Linked DNA regions of Pelodiscus sinensis. The protein of the gene in region 1 purifies or fractionates together with the protein of each later gene. This does not show direct contact. Links are inferred from orthologs where the notes say so. Each region holds a gene or a part of one and is shown in the gene's direction. Other genes may lie near its edges. The genes, in order: AKAP5 and PRKACB.

What was found.
Region 2: the proteins of AKAP5 (region 1) and PRKACB purify together in Homo sapiens (affinity purification with mass spectrometry; 4 studies listed by BioGRID and IntAct, counting the BioPlex papers as one, with this or other methods). This does not show direct contact. The link is inferred for Pelodiscus sinensis from reciprocal best matches to the Homo sapiens genes AKAP5 and PRKACB.

The regions. Positions count from the first base shown.
Region 1 is NC_134714.1:15,759,023-15,767,616, forward strand, and holds the start of AKAP5 (A-kinase anchor protein 5), read left to right. Parts: upstream 1-5,078; 5' UTR 5,079-8,545; intron 8,546-8,551; exon of another isoform or gene 8,552-8,594. Other genes in the region: MTHFD1 (C-1-tetrahydrofolate synthase, cytoplasmic), read left to right, coding at 3,690-3,779. UniProt on the Homo sapiens protein: Multivalent scaffold protein that anchors the cAMP-dependent protein kinase/PKA to cytoskeletal and/or organelle-associated proteins, targeting the signal carried by cAMP to specific intracellular effectors.
Region 2 is NC_134719.1:29,277,968-29,286,225, forward strand, and holds the start of PRKACB (cAMP-dependent protein kinase catalytic subunit beta), read left to right. Parts: upstream 1-4,890; 5' UTR 4,891-4,986; coding exon 4,987-5,173; intron 5,174-8,258. UniProt on the Homo sapiens protein: Mediates cAMP-dependent signaling triggered by receptor binding to GPCRs.

The DNA.
Region 1 (8,594 bases):
CTCAGGCATGCTCAACAATTTGATTCTTAGAACATCTTTAAGTTCACTGATTCCCCAGTAGCATAATTGCTACTTACAGACATGGAAACAGTGTTGGTGCCTTGTGAACAAAGCTAAATCATAGGCATTGTATTTAGTTTTCTCAAACTTGAGCTCCATTAAATTCATTAAGCTAGATCCAGACACTGTAAATTGTTTGTTTTGTCCGGAAGAAAAAATGATAGCAATAAAAACTGCATATAAGAAAAGAGGTGACATCAGCTGCAGGTGAGATCTGTCCAGGAGTAGAGTTAGAACCCCAATTTTCATTGGCACTCCAGTGAAATCGGGTTCTTCAGGTGTGAAATAGATTCCTCCTCAGAAAACACCAGTTGGAAATGAAACTTGGCAGGAAACTAAACGAAAACCTGCTGATCTCAGCTGCAAGAGAGAGGCCCACTTTGATGATTAAGGCAGGATGATGCTGAAGGTCTCCATAGTTGAGAGAGAACAGAAGATACTCTTAATGATGTTCAAGGCAATAAAGACAGACATACGTGCTGAACTAATTACTGTGCCAACAGAAGTGGCAGATTTAGAGAAGAAGGCTGATCATGGTGGGAATAAGATCTGTTGAGGAATCTGATGTTATCAGGACACTAAATGGCTGATGTAAACAGCACAGAATGAAGGAGAGGTACAAAACAGTCATGTCCAAGAAAATAACATCTGAGTTAAAGGAATCCCTGAAAATGTGGAGGGGAGGAATCTAGTCCTGTTTGAGCAGATGCTGTTAGAAGACCTATAAACGTGCTTCCTCTGAGTGTATGGGGTATGTAAAGCACTATCCCTTTTTGTTGCAAGTGGGAGTACTGTGTGTTTGGGACAAATTGAAAAGTAAATTGAGCCTTTTCCGATCATTTGATACATCTATTCCAAGCAACACAGAATTTAATCCAGTGACTTTTGGTGAGTTGGTGAACTATGGCATACGGTATCTTAGATCAAATGTATTAGGGACAGGGGTGTTTTCAGAAATTAAAGCCGAATAGAACTGGCTTTTTCTCCCATGGCATCAGTCCTGCATAGTCATACATTATGCTTTTCCAAATGTCTAAAGTACTTTTTGGGCAGGACATTAACTCTAATAAGAGACATCAGGATTCATAGGAAATTGTATGATTTTGGTCCTGATCCTACAATCCCCAGATCACTCTTCTGTATGCATCCACCAAACCCAAGCAACTGTAGAGGGGACACAATTGCAGGGTCCAGCTTTGGGGAATGCAGACTTCAGACTGTACGATTAAAAACCTGCTAGTAGCCTGTGCTGCTTGACTTGGGCTCAAGAGGTCAAGCACCTCACAGGGTGAGTCTAAATGCTTACACTTCAGTTAAACAGCCCTGTGTCTAGTTTTTGTGTAGGCGTACCATGAGATTGATCAGTCGTCCCCGAACTCTGAGGGACTTGAAGGAACATTCGGGGCACAGAGGGGATCAGGCCAACCCTCATGGGGAGGTGGGAAGAGAGTGCCAGCTAACCCCACTCTGCCCTAAGCTCTGCTGCAGCTCCCTGCCATGGTTCTGCAGTTTCCCCACCCCCAGCTGTGGGCCTTGCTCTGGAGTGTGGCTCTACTTCTGGCTTCAGCTGTGGCCCCAGCTTTGGCCAGGTCTCCCAGCCTGGCTGTGGCTCTGCACGTGGCCCCAGCTGCTCTGCTCCTGGCTATGGCTTCAGCCTTAGCCCTTGGACATAGCTCCACTCCTGGCCTTGCTCCCACTAATCTTGGCTCTCAGCTCTGGTCTCGGCCCCAGCCGTGGCTCCACTCCCAGCCCCAGCTCTGACGTGGCTGTTGACGGGGAGGGAACATGGATGGGGTAAGGGTTAAAAGTTTGAGGACCACTGCCTTTATAATAAAATGCTGGGCCAGATAAGTACTTTGATGTGGGTGAAATTTTCAAAAGCACTTGTGTGATCTAGGAGCTAAAGCCCCATGGACATTCAGTGAGATGCAGCTATCTGAATGAAAATAGGTTGTTACGAAGTGCTTTTGAAAATTTTACAATGTAATATCTAATAGGTGTTTGATTGTTGGGCCTTCTGTTGTTTGTTGTTTTGGGCTATTTTTAATCCTGTGAGTGAATTCAGTGCAGCTCTGTGGTTTATTTTGGGATAGCTAAACAGTGGTATCACTCTCTGCGTTCTTTGTTTTTGCAGTGCTTACGTTACAGAAAACACCCCACACCTTCACTTAATTTCCAGTGGCTGCATGTTTACACAAATACCCGATAGCTAACATCCCTATCAAATATCAGAGGGGTAGCTGTGTTAGTCTGGATCTGAAAAAGTGACAAGGAGTCCTGTTGCACCTTATAGACTAACATGTATTGGAGCATAAGCTTTCGTGGGCAAAGACCCACTTCGTCAGATGTATGTAGTGAAAATATCCAGATGCGGATGTAGTGGAAATATCTGAAGAAGTGGGCTGTGCCCACGAAAGCTCATGATACCATCTACATGTTTTGTTAGTCGATAAAGTTCTACCAGGCCATTTGTTTGCTGTTTTTTTTCTGCAACAGACTAATTGGATACCCCCTGAAGCTCAAAGACAGACAAGTTCAAATTAAAACATAGACACACATTTTTATACTGAGGATGATTAACCATCGGGGCAAACTGACAAGGGAAAAAGTAGATTCTCCATCTCTTCGGGTCTCTTAAGTCAAAATAGGCTGTCTTTCTGCATGATACACTTTAGTCAAACTTAAATTACTGGGCTCAGTATGGGAAGTAATATGGGTGAGGTTCTAAGGCTTGTCTGCTATAGGAGGTCTGGCTAGGAGATCTAATGGCTCCTTCCAGCCTTATACTCTATGGATTTATAAATGTTGGTGCTTGACAGCTGAACAAGTGATGGCGTTGGCTTGAGGAGACGTTGTTTAGGTCGATGTAGTGTGAGCTACCCTACTTTGGCCAGTGCACCTCTTGTGATCTAAAATGGCTCTCAGAACTTTCATACAGTTTAAAGTGACTGGCTGTTTTATCCAGTGGAACTGTCCCCTCGTCAGTTCAAGTCCAGCTTCTATCTTTTTAGTCAGAAAATTCCATCTCTTTTTAAAGCCAGTACTGGGCCAACTAGGTAGTGCTTTTAATCCTGGGCTCTCAGAGCATTTCTGAAATGTGTATATGTATACTGTGAGTGGGAGGTACAGATTCCAGCTTGAGGAGAGACAACCATATTAGCTTAATCAGATCTAGTGGGCTAAAAATAGAGTGTAAGCACAGCAGAAAGAGAGACTAGCCATGTTTCTCTTGGATAAGTAATGTTCTCATGATGACTACCACCATTCTATACTCTGTTCTAGTCGTCTCGCTCCTTCAGAGCCAGTACAGCTGCATCACTTCAACTGGAATTTTTGCATGCAGGTGAGGTGCAGATATACTTGAAGGCCTCACAACATTCCTGTGAGGTATTGAGATCCCTGTCTCACTAACGGAAATTGTGGCACAGTTATTGTCTCATGCAGTCAAACTTCAGTAGTTCCACTGAAGTCAGTGGAAATAGGCACATGCTTAAATTTCAGCGCATGCTTAAGTGCTTTGCTGAACCATTTGCACAAAGTCACACTGAGTCAATGGAAGAGCCAAAACCAGCTCACAACCCCAAACCCAGGCTCTGTCCACTAATATACTTTTCCCTTCTGTCCACCAGATGAGTACTATGCCAGGACTTCCTACTCGCCCCTGTTTCTATGATATAGACTTGGATCCAGTGTCAGAACAGGTGAACGGGCTGTTCTGAAAACAAATGTTAACCAAAGGTAAGTCTCTTATTTGAGCTAGAAGCCTTGCAAATATTTGGTTTATATTTTTCCAACTGAAAAGGAATATACTCAGATCTAATTATGAAGCTCTATGTTTTCAAAGGGCATTTGGTTGTAGTTCCTCCTAAAATTTGCCTTTGTTTTCTGTATATCTGTTGGTAATTAAGTTTTCATTTTTCTTTATAGCTACCAGAAGATTACTTGATGAGCAGTGCAAACTCAGTTGTATCCTGATTTAAGACAAAATAATATATGGCAATACCTGAAGTGACTGGGAGAAAGGGGCATTTGGAAATGAATGAACTATATACATTTATTTTTTTAATCTGAATAGTTTTAAAAAAATATTTTATTTCAGTCTTTTAGTTCAGTAAGGATAAGAACTTAAATCTTACATATGTGATGTTTTTTAATTATATTGCTTTCATGAACCTATTGCTTTTACCCTTCATAATGTCAGAGCAAACCTGTTTTTAATACCCTCTTCCTAGCTCTGTGATTGTTACTTATTAAAATGTAACAATAACATTATGGTTTCTTTATTGATATAGTGTTTACCACAGTCCAGGGCTTAATTGGTTGTTTTGAAATGTGTTTTAGAAAGTCTGTGCACTGTATCTTTCTACTGCATTTCATTCTATAATTCATTGCTAGCTCTAAAAGAGAAAATAGTGCCTTATCAGAGCATACTAATTAAATGAAAAGTAGGCAGTAGGGAAGAATGTCTTTGTTTCTGTTCTTCCCTGAAAGCTTTTGACCATTGGTTTCTGCTTTGCTTTGAATTTTTCTTGTGGGCACCTGTACTGTATCTAGTCTTCTCTTTAAAAAGCCCTGGGATGATCTATGTTTTCTCATGTTACCTACTGAATTGTTAATGGAAGTGGAACATACACAATTTGCCTTTTTTTGGAGACTAGCCCTGCATGCTATGTCTGGGGATAGACATTTGTTCTATATGCGGTTTTTAATAGCTATCTGATGAGCAAGGATGAATTTTGTAAATGATTAAACTATTTTTGGTTCTTGAAATCCCTTTTTTGGTGAACAAAGACCACACAAGCACTAAATCAAATAGCCTGTAATGGATTTGTCGCAATAGTCCAAAACATCATTTAATAATGTGAAAATGTAATTAACACAAATAAATTGCTAAAATCTTTCTAGGATTCCCTGGGTTTTAATATGTGCATTGAGATTAATGAAGTAAAAGTTTTATGATGATGAATTGGGAGGAATGTTCACAGCAGTGATCCCAGTATTGACAAGTAAAAGTGAATATTGCAGTACAGTAATACTGTTGAGTCTGCAGTGCTCCACTGTGTGTAGGTTTAATCCAGCTTCCTTTTCTGGGACGGCATGTCACCTGTAGGATAATAATTACCTGAATTATTCAGTGGATTTAGATGTACTCACTGACGACTGTGGTGAAGTGAGACAATCAATTCTTTTGATTTATCAATTGACTAGAATAACTTGCCCATGCAAACAGCAAAAAAAAATTTTGGATAATTGTTTCTACATAAAACTGCAAGGCCCATATGCTTGTGTTTGATCTTGACCTAACATATGTTAAAGAATTGCTCTGACTGGGAGAAGAGTTGATGTAGGTGTATGCACCAGTACACAGGCTTATCTGTGATACACACACACTATATATAGCAAGCTAGTGAGGAGAATAATTATGTAACAATTACATGGCTGTCACAAGAGTGAAGTTAGAATAACTTAAGTTGTCATAAGAGCCCCGAGTTGCATTTAAATTTTCCTTTATATAATATCATTCAGTTAGAACAGCTATTGCCAATCAATCTTCAGGGCATAAGCAGACCACTTGCATGAGGTCAAGAAGGATTGTCTCCCCATATATAACAGTGCCTCTGGCTAGCCACCTTAGGTGCTTCTTCATCTAAGGCAGTACTTCTTGAAGTGAGCTGTGGGCTTGCTTTGGCCCACGCCACTTTGTTTACCTTAGTCACAGAGCCTCTCACCTCCCATTGGCTCCAATTCACCGTTTGCAGACACAAGGAGCTGCAGGAAATGGCAAACTAAAGCCAATGTGAGGCTCTGTGGCTAAGGTAAACAAAGAGGTGTGGGCCTGCTAAGGCATATCCTGTACAGGCCACTTCTGGAACCAGAATAAACAGAATCATAGGCTCTGTCATGTCAGCTTCTACACATAATACTACTTTCTTCTCATGTCTGGTTATCTTCCATTCTACCAATTGTATCTTGTTCCTTTCATCTCCCAGCCCCCACAAATGCCCTTCCAGTTCTTTTGTACAGCCTTTATTTAAAAACCAGAAGCTTGCTATGTCCCTCTTGGACAAGGACTGGTTGAAAGTAATTTTTTTATGAGAGGTAGCCAATGTTAGTGAGAGTATCCTTCATCTAGTGACAGGTCATAGCATTCATTCTCCACTGAATTTGTGGATTTGAAGCACTACATGTTCTCATGCCCTTAGCTATCCTAAATGTTATGATATGTGGACAGATCCTTCTGTAACATGATCTAATGTCACTTAATTTTGCAAAATGTTGGCCAGCAGCATGGACTGAGGTAGGGTTTCCATGTCGTCAAAGCCTTTCTCAGAACAGAAATAAGCTTAACCTTTCACATCCCTAGTGGGTAACCGGTAAGCATCACCCTTAACATGTGATACTTACCAGTTCTGGTTAACTAGTGGGAGCTGGAGGGGAGGGGGTGCTTCAGCCTGGGCATAATGGGTAGGAGGGCATTCTTAAATGGTTAAACATGTTTAAATTGGTATTTTACATCTCTATACCCCACACCTTGTGTCACCAAGACCCTCATGCAAGCAAGAAAGCTTGCTCTGAACCATTGGTTTTGAAACCATGCCCATCCACAGCAATCTCTGATCCTCCGGCAAATTATTCCCTTTGCATTGTTGTCATGCTCTGAAGCTGGATGAGGAACAGTATTCCAAATACAGGGTATTTAAACTGGAAGTGATATACCTGAATTAGTGATCCTATGCCTTTGTTGCCTCATGTTCTCTCTAATCCTTATTCTTGCTGCCTACTCAATAAACCTTAGCACTAACAGGCATCACTGAGCTACAAGGAAGTGGAAATGTGTTATAATTTGAACCCAGATCCCACCCCAGATAATTATGAAGGGTATTAGACCAAGGAGTTTGTAGACTCACATTTGTGCCCTAACAAGCAGTAACCGTTTTTGAAATCAGGATCAGTGGGATGCTACTATGCTAAATGTATATTACTAAACCTACTGCATGAAAATGGCAAATGGAATTCCAAGAAAAATGCATCCATTATGAGCACTCTGTGCTTGCTTTACGTCTCCATCATCTTACTAGTGAGCATTTCAGCTAAGGACTGGGCTGGATTCTGTCCTGGGCCCACTAATATTACTCCATAATAAAAAGAGCTAATAGGAGGCTAAAAAGAGGGTTTTTTTAAAAAAAAAATCTAAGCCTTACCCGCATTAGGCAACTGTACAGACTGTGCAGCTGTTTGAAATATGCTCCTCCCTCTCATTTCTTAATTTAAAATACATGCTCTGATGAGTTATCAGTGGGCAGCAGTTAATCCCCTGTTGAGGCTAATGGGGAATTCACAGCTCTCGGAATGTGGTTTCATGTAGTGCATCAGTTGCACTTGATTCCTATTTGCAGGGCCATCTCAGCAACCCTACCAGCAGGAGATATACATAAGTTTGAAGCTTAGATACTAGAGCAGTGGTGGGAAACCAGCGGTCCCTCACAGTTCAGGGTGTGGTTGTTCACTAGTGCCCCCGTGCATGCTTGCCAGATTCTGCTGGTTTCTGTCCACATAGTTTTCCTATGGGTATTACTAAAGTGATGTGCACATAAAGCAAAGGTATGTGAAATGAAGTGCAGGCTGTTTGCACAGCATTGACTGTGAAAGACACCCATTCTCTCTGCATCCAAAGCACTGCTCCCATTCAGTCTGCGCACACTGCAAATTCTAGATATGCAAGCGCAGGGTAGCTTTGCTTACTATCCCAGGAGACCATCTTAACTATGACAATTTTGTGGCCCACAGCGATGAAATAGGACCATGATGCAGCCCACTTACTAATATAGGCCGTCCAGCCCTGGGCTGGAGAATGAGACGGCATCAAGGAGGGGATGCTGCAGATTGTCCTGGCTCATTCCTTGCCCACACTGGGAGCCAGGGTCCTGACACACAGTTCTGAAATAGCCTTTGTCCTATTGCCCAGCTTCGTGGAGGAGCCAGGGCTGCCGGTCAGGGAGGGGAGTGTCTCTCCCAGACCCCCTGCTTGGCACTGACATGGGCTGGGGTGCTAAAAGCAGCCCTTCCCTCCTGCTCCGTCCCCAGGGACAAAACTAGCCGCTGCTCACTCCACCTTGGCCTGCCCGGGGGGCGCGGGGCGCGTGGCAGCCCAGGGATGCTCCCCGGGGCAGGTGGGACCCGTCGCGGGAGGGCAGCGGCTCTGGCTGAGCGCGGGGAGCAGCTGGCACGGCGGGGCTCAGCAGAGCGCGGCTCCGGGCAGCTTCTGCAGCGCCCCCACCCCCAGCGCGCGGCGGGCTCTGACCAGGGCGCGTGGCCGCTCTGCGCCCCCAGCCTGCAGCACGCGCGGGAGGGGGCGTGACTGGAGCGGGGCGTGTCCCCTCCCGCCGGGGCTGGCTCGGGACCCCGCCCAGCAGCAGCAGCTCCAGCTCCAGCTCCTCTTGGGCTCCGAGCGGAGCGGGCTGGCGCGGCGGGCAGCGGACGCCAGGTGAGCGCGGGCGTGGGCCGAGCCGGCCCCTTGCTCTCCGCACGTAGGG
Region 2 (8,258 bases), on another chromosome or scaffold:
CAGGGCTGGCGGAGATGAGGGAGGAAGAAGGGACCCTGGCTGGTGGAGATAGGGAGGGGAAAGGGCCAGACTGATGCCTTGCATCTGGCCAGAGGGGGTCACCGGGGAACTGCATGGCAAGCGGCAAATCTCCGCCGCTTTGTAAGGAGGCAGACGAAGCCCTGGGAAACCCAGCCTCAAGCGGAGGGCGGAGGAGAGGGAGCGAGGCATCCAGCCAGAGGAGGTCACCGAGGAATGGCGCAGAGAACCTCTGGAGGCAGGGTAAGCCCTGCACAGCTGCCAGTGACCAGCCAGCTGGGGAAATTCAGCTGCCCGCTGCAAGCGGGGGGGGGCAGAGGAGAGGGAACAAAGCATCCGGCCAGAACGGGTCGGTGGGGAACAGCACAGCGAGTGAAGAACCTGTGCCGCTTTGCAGAGAAAGCCTTTCTCAGCTGCCGGCCACCGGCTGGCCCTAGGGAAAATCATGTTATTGCGGGGACGGGTCATGTTGTTTGAAAAATGTTCCCAAAAAAAATCATGCTATCACGAAAACGTGTTAAGCGGGCACATGTTAAGCGAGGAGTTACTGTATCAGTAAAAAAACGAGTGGTCCTGTAGCAGCTTAGAGACTAACATTATATATATATATATATATATATATATATATATATATATATATATATATATATATATAGTATCACTAGGGGGCTGTACTGCCTGCTTATTATACTTGCCAACCTCACTCTGTTGCAGCCACATCGTGGCCTCCTCTCCTGCCCATGCCTCAGCAGGAGGGGGACTACCACCAACCCTTCCTGCAGCCAGATGGTGGCTGGACCGCAGGCCCTACCCCAGTATTGGGGCCAGGGACAGGATGCGGTGGCCAGAAGGGGGTTAGGCCCCAATTGGGCAGGGAGTCTGGCTTGGCAGAGGGGGCAGGAGTAGGTTGGGGGCAGGGTGACGGCTGGGGATAGGAGGCAGGAGCAGGCAGGGAGTGTGAGGCTTGGCAGGGGAGGGAACGTGTGAGGCACTGGGGAGACAGGGCCAAGGCTGCAGGGGCTCTTACTTGTTTTCATGTGGCATGCTGCTTCCAGGCACCAGAGGCTTTACCTGCAGCTGTCTGAGTAGCGGGAAAAGCCTCCAACAAGTTCATAGGTGCACCAGCCGGGGAGGGGAAAGGGAAGCAGCAGTGCGCATGCTTCCCCGCAAGCCAGATCCAGCACAGAGTTGTGGGGCTTTCTCTCCCCTTTGACCCCCCACAGGAAGCCAGTGGAGTCTGGAGCGCCAGGCAGGCGGTAGCCCAAGCACACATCCTGAGGCAGGCAGCAGAAGTTCCCTGGGAGTTGGGGTAGGAGGTGCTGGGCCACGGAAGCCAGAGCTCAGAAGCGAGAGGCAAAGGGGGGAGCTGGAGCTGCCGCTTCTCCCTAACCCACCTGCAGGGGAACCAGGAGGCCAGCAAGGAGCCCAGGGGGTCCCCAAGGAGAGGCCAGGGCAGAACTCTGAGCCATGGCCATCTCTTCCCCTTCAGAGACTGCCAAGGCTGGGGGTGGGGGACAATGCAGAGTGATGTGATGATGTCACTATTGTCCCACAGGAAAATTTTTGCAAGAGAGAGAGACAGACACGAGGTTTTGTTTGCAAAACCCACTTGCTCAGATGAGCAGAGCAGAGTGGAGAGAAAAGGGGACCCTCACAGTTTGACAGAAAAAGAAGGGTGAGGGGAAAGGACCTATCAGTTGTAGTGCTGGTGCTAAAGAGGCTAATTGAGTGGACTGGAAGTGTCCCATACTAGGGATGCTAGTGAGTAGTTTACTACTTGACTAGTCTCTGGGGTGCCACCTACCCCCTTCCTCCGTTGTCCCTATCAGAGGTAGCAGGGTGAGGATAGGGGAGGCTACTCTGGCAGAAGCCCCTGTTCGCAGGGGTCTCATTGGGGAACTGGGGCCTGCCCGCAGACAGGGGCTGCTGCTGCCAAGCAACCCCTGTTTACAGTGGCTGGAGCAGACTCAGTTTGTGGTGGCTAGGGCTGGTCAGTCCCAGCTCCAGGAGCTACCCTTGCTATGGCTCTACAGAGTGCCCCTTATCGACTAATCTTATAGTTGATACAAATTTTATCAACTACATGATTAGCCAGATAACTGCAATTTAACATCCTTCTCCCATACTTAACTTTTTATGTCACTTGAGTGTTGAATGTTAGGAAAGCAGATTTTATAATGGCCCATCCAGTTAATGTCTTTGTTCAAGCCATGAGAAACAGCGTCAAACTTGCATATGAAGGCCAGTTCTGCACTCTCTCTGTGGTGTTGGTTTTTGAAATTTCTTTGTAGAATATTTTAAATCCATTAATGAGTGTCCAGGTAGATTAAAATGTTCTCCTGCGGGTTTGCGTGTATTGCCATTTCTGATATCTGACTTGTCTATTTATCCTTTGTTGTGTGTGTATATATATTAGGGTATGTCTACACTACCCCGCTAGTTCGAACTAGCGGGGGTAATGTAGTCATCCGCACTTGCAAATGAAGCCCGGGATTTGAATTTCCCGGGCTTCATTTGCATGAAGCCGGCCGGCGCCATTTTTAAATGCCGGCTAGTTCGGACCCCGTGCCGCGCGGCTACACGTGGCACGGACTAGCTAGTTCGGATTAGGCTTCTAATCCGAACTAGCTGTATGCCTCGTGGAACGAGGTGTACAGCTAGTTTGGATTAGGAAGCCTAATCCGAACTAGCTAGTCTGTGCCGCGTGTAGCCGCGCGGCACGGGGTCCGAACTAGCCGGCATTTAAAAATGGCGCCGGCCGGCTTCATGCAAATGAAGCCCGGGACATTCAAATCCCGGGCTTCATTTGCAAGTGCGGATGACTACATTACCCCCGCTAGTTCGAACTAGCGGGGTAGTGTAGACATACCCTTATGTATTTGGCCAATATACAATGCAGTGCCCCTCTCCCATGTACAATTGGTGGTAGAGAGGGAAAAAGTTGACCTTGACAAAGCATAGAAGAACAGAAGGTGGTTTCACCACAAGTGAGAGGGTGTAATCAGGTGGGAGGAGGAAGTATTTATACCCTGGGAAGTTCTGGAGAAGTCTTCTCTCACTGCATTAGATCTTAGTTGCCCGTGCCCTCCCACAAATGGATTTTTTCCTAATCTGCTATGAGTAACCTTTTTCTTAAGGGCTGGGAAGGGATTTTTCTCTCAGTGCCCAATTGGCCAAAATGGATTGTTCTTTTGTGTTTTACTTTACCCACAGCAGGTCAGGGCCTGGTAGCCTAGGCTAATTTGGGTCAAAATATTGCAACGTAATAATTAACAAATGTGGCAGATGTCCAGTGCAAGTATGTGTTATGGACGGGTACAGCGGAGAATGAATTCCCCCGCACCGTGTTCCTTTTCCATCTCCCTTAATTCTCATGGTGGGGAGATGGGTGAAGTCCCAGCAACAGGTTGATAGGGATCAGGTGCAGAGATAGAGGATTGATAGCACCTAAGGATGTAAACAGGTAACTGGTTAATTGGGCAGCTTCACACCCGGCCAGCCTCCTGGGGGGCATTCCAGCCCATCAAGGTCAGAGCAGACTCATGCTGTGGAGCCCCAGGGCTGGCCAGGATGGAGCACACCCAGGAAACAGTGTAATAGGTCCTGCTGAGCCCAACTGGAGCAGCCCCCACTGGGCTGCACCAGGCCTGCCATGCTGCAGGGACCAGGCGCCCCCTGCAGGGACCTGGCTGTATTGAGTTGCCCTGATTTACAGGTTTGGGACCCATCACAAAGGTATGAATAAAGACATTACCTGCCTAGCACACTACCTTCCACATCCTAATGACTTAAAAAAACAAACGGGTACTTAGAGCAGGTGCAAATTGTTTTTCTCAGCTTCTTGTAACATGGATACTTTTATTGACTTTTTCCCTCCTTTTCCCCTCCTTCTCCTTGCCCCCAGTCTCCTGTTTATCTTGGAACTGGACCTTAAACTCCATTCATCTGAAGAAGTGGGTTGTACCCTTGAAAGTTCATGATATCATCTACATGTTTTGTTAGTTTTTAAGGTGCTGCTATACTATTCATTGTCTTTTAAGTTTTTCCAGTTACAGACTAACTCAGCTACTCTTCTGAAGTGGTTAAACATCGTTTAACTGGTTAACATTTTAAATGGGATTTTGTGTCCCTAATAGCAGGCCTCCTAAATAGGTGGAAATGATTAAGAGGAGAACTATGATGATCACTGTACAACTTACTGCTAGATATTCCCAGATATATTAAATGTATACAATTGCAAGCTAATTACATCTTCTCCATTGCCTTCTGTTTTTCTTCTGGGATGGTTGGAAAATGGATATATTTCTTTATTAAGGACTGGATGTTACCTTACTCAGTAAGTGGCCCCACTGACTTGTTGATAGACATTTGGAGGAAGCTAAAACTCAGCATGAGTAAGGTTGGCAGAATCTGGCTTCTTGTTACACAAGAACTATTCTTTAGCTTACTCCATTATGGCTTTCTAAATGTAAAAGGACAAAAGTGGTAACTTTGTTAATTTTTATTTACCATAAAACATCATTTGTTTTAACAAGTTAACCTTCTTGCTTAGAAAATTGTACTGTTGTAAAAAAAATGTAGGGATACTTTTTAGTTGATGGATGTTTATGGGAGCTATTTTTAAATTTTATCTGTATTCTGATTTTTTCCTTCACTTTATATCACATGCAGTTGTGTATTTTCATTGTCATGTGTTTTTTTATATGAAAAAAGTTGTTAAACTCAGAGTTTAAGACAACTATTACAGCTCTTTTAACCGCCACCTTTAGCAGATACAACAGAGTTTTGCTAAGAAAAGCACCATAACGTGCTGTTTTGTATTAACAGGAAGCAGAACAGCAGTAGTGGTTAGAAACACTGCATTCAGGAAGTTTGACACATGCATAAGTTCCTAGCTTCTGTTTAAGTTGTTTGAGCTCCTTTATAGATTGTCTAATGTTTTTTAAAGTAAATTATCAATGAATATAGATGGCAGCGCAGCGGGAACTATCTTGTAACCAGTGCACAGGGACATCCACTGCTTTGCAGAGACTTGAAGGGTTTGCTAACCGACTTTTTCATAGGCACTCTAAGGGTAGTTTACAAGAACAGAAAGTGGCTCTGGAAAATGAGAGCCATCATTTCTCTGAACTTGCTGCCCTATGGGACAGATCAAGTAAGTGTACTGTAGATATTTAATATTCAGTTTTTATGGTAATTAAAAGATTTTATGTAGTAAATAGACAAAACTACTGTAAATTCTATCAGCCTTTTTATAGTGTAACAGTAAATGTAGCTTTAAAGCAAGAGCTATTGCAACATGCAGGTGGAAATTTGATACTCTTTCACAGGGACTTGGTGTCTGGTAACAGAGTTTCATATGTGAGCTTCCTTTTTCTTAGACAAGTGTTGTTAACTTAATTTCTGTGTTTTTTGTAAGCTTTTCTTCCCAGTATTCCAGATCTAAATTAGATAGTTTTAGCAACAGTAGATAATTTACTTGTTTAAAATTGTGGGTTTTCTTTGTCTTTAATTTTGGAAGGGTGGATATTATGTTATGCTGACTGGGGGGTTAATTACATGACATCTTTTAAAAAATTATAGTGTCATTTAATTTTTATTAGATATTTCATAATCCATTTTGTGGTAATTTGAACACTAAAACTAGAGCATAAATTCATTGTTTACTATTTCAGATTAATGCAGTGTATTAATTTTGATTTATACCACTAGTTATCTATCACTTTAATTTTATAATCTTAATTCGTGAGTGCAATTTTATTTATATTGTAGAAAATATGTATGATCAGAAATAGGGCTCAACCAGGTGCATGCCCCCCCTTACTTTCTAAAACACACAAAATATTCAGAGTTCATAATTCAAGCCAAAAAATAACAAAGTTAATGAGATCAAACTGGTTATCACTGCTGTGTACATACTCTACTGTAAAACAAATAAGTTATTTAGGAATTTGTGTCCAGCCTGGGGTTGGAGAGGGTGAGGCACCACAGAGGCCCCTTGCCAGCGCACTCTGGGCCCGGGAATGGGAAGGGGGCTGTGCAGTCCAGCTCCTGTGGTGTTCCCCAGTCCAAGGTTGGGGAGGAGGGGCTGTGCGGGCTGGCTGGGCGTGACCATGTAGGGCAGCCATGCAGTACTGGGGAATGGGGGAGGGGTTTGGCTGTGGCCCGTGTGGGGGAGGGGAGAGCGGGGGGGGGGAAGGATGTGCTGCGCATCCCTGGTGGCGCTTGTGGGGGGGAGAGTTATGATAGTGGGACCAGCAGAGCTTCTCCCTCTCCCCGGTGTAGTGTTGGGGGCTGGGGGGAGCAGTGGGGAAGAGGTGCCACCTTCATTGTCCAGCAAGAAGGCAAGCCCTGTCTCCAGCTGGCAACCTCCTTCCTGGTGCGGCTTCCCCAAGTGGTCACTCTGCAGTATAGCTGTTCCCTGTGCTCACTGCCCCCAGTGCTCATTCTGCAGTATTGTGTCTCTCTGAACAGCCCCCTCCTTTTCTATATAATGGAAAACAGTCAAATTCCAGGCACATCCTGTTCTCTTGCACAACCAAACCATGAATTTGCTTTAAGTTAGGATAAGAGAAAAAAGCTGCATACCAAATTTGGTGGTCTTAGCTGTTAATGTTTAGGAGGAGTTCTTAAACAAATGGACTCACAGAACAAGACACACAAATCTCTACTATATGTAATATATATAGGGGGGAGGGAGGGAATGAATGTATTGTCTTATTATTTGCTAGCACATTTACCCAGTGTTACTTGGGTCATAACATAAGAATGGCCGTACTGGGTCAGACCAAAGGTCCATCTAGCCCAGTATCCTGTCTGCCGACAGTGGCCAGCACCAGGTGCCCTAAAGAGGGTGGACTGAAGACAATGATCAAGCAATTTGTCTCCTGCCATCCCTCTCCAGCCTCTGACAAACAGAGGCCAAGGACACCATTTTATCCCCTGGCTAATAGCCTTTTATGGACCTAACCTCCATGAAATTATCTACCTTCTCTTTAAACTCTATTATAGTCCTAGCCTTCACAGCCTCCTCTGGCAAGGAGTTCCACAGGTTGACTACAGGCTGCGTGAAGAAGAACTTTCTTTTATTAGTTTTAAACCTGCTACCCATTAATTTCATTTAGTGTCCTCTAGTTCTTCTATTTAGGGAACCAATAAATAACTTTTCTTTATCGGCCCTCTCCACACCACTCATGATTTTAAGTAGGGTCATTAAGTAGGGGTTCAGGGAAGGGGGCTGGAGTAGTGGGATGGGGAGGTTGTAGGAGTCAGGACTGGAGGTATGAAGGGGCTCAGGGCTTGAAATTGGGGGTTGTAGGAGTCAGGGTTGGGTCAGAGGAGGGGCTTAGGGTGGGAAGTGGAGGGTGCAGAAGTCATGGCAGGGAATTGAGAGGTATGGGGGGGGCATATGTTGGGGAGGGAGAGGGGAATTGAAGGAGGTTCCCGGCTGCTTGGTGGGACAGAGGGAGCCATGCTGGCTCATCAACACATGAAAAACTTCCTAACAGTCAGCGTGATTAAAACTGGGATAAATGCATAGGGAGGTTGTGGAATTGCCATCACTGAAGATATTTAAAAGCAAGTTGAGCTAAACCAGGGGTGGGCAATAATTTTTTACTGGGGGCCATTTCAGAAATTTTTGAAGGGGCCCCTGGCTGCACCGGAAGGAGCAGGGCCTCAACTGGAAGGGGCGGTGTCACAAATCATTGTGACAGCAGGGCCACGATACTTCCCCGCTTTCCTACCCACAGATTGGTCTGAGGGCAGGGGAGCAGGTGAAGTCTTTGCTTCCCCCCCCCCTCCGCCCCCAGAGATTATCCCTAGGCACCAATGCCCCTGGCAGTGGGAGAAGACTTCGTGCACTCCCCCGCCCCCAGGTCCTAATTGGCCTGGGGGCGGTGGAGCAACAGGGCCTCTGCGGGCTGGATCCACCCGCTTGGCTGGCCGGATTCAGCCTGAGGAGGCCCTTTTGCCCACCCCTGATCTAGAGTCTCGCCCTACTCAACCAGTCTCTTACCAGTTTTCCCACTCCTCCGAGTTCATTCTGAAGTATAAACTGTGCCTGCTAGCAGACTCATCCCTTTGAATTTATGAGAAACAGTCATATTTCAGGCAAACCCCATTGTCTTGATACAGCTAAACACTTAACCTTGCTTTAAGTCAGGGCTACTCAACTTTGGAAGCCCCAGGGGCACACTGATAATTGACTGCACATGCCGAGGGCCGCAACTTATATGCAA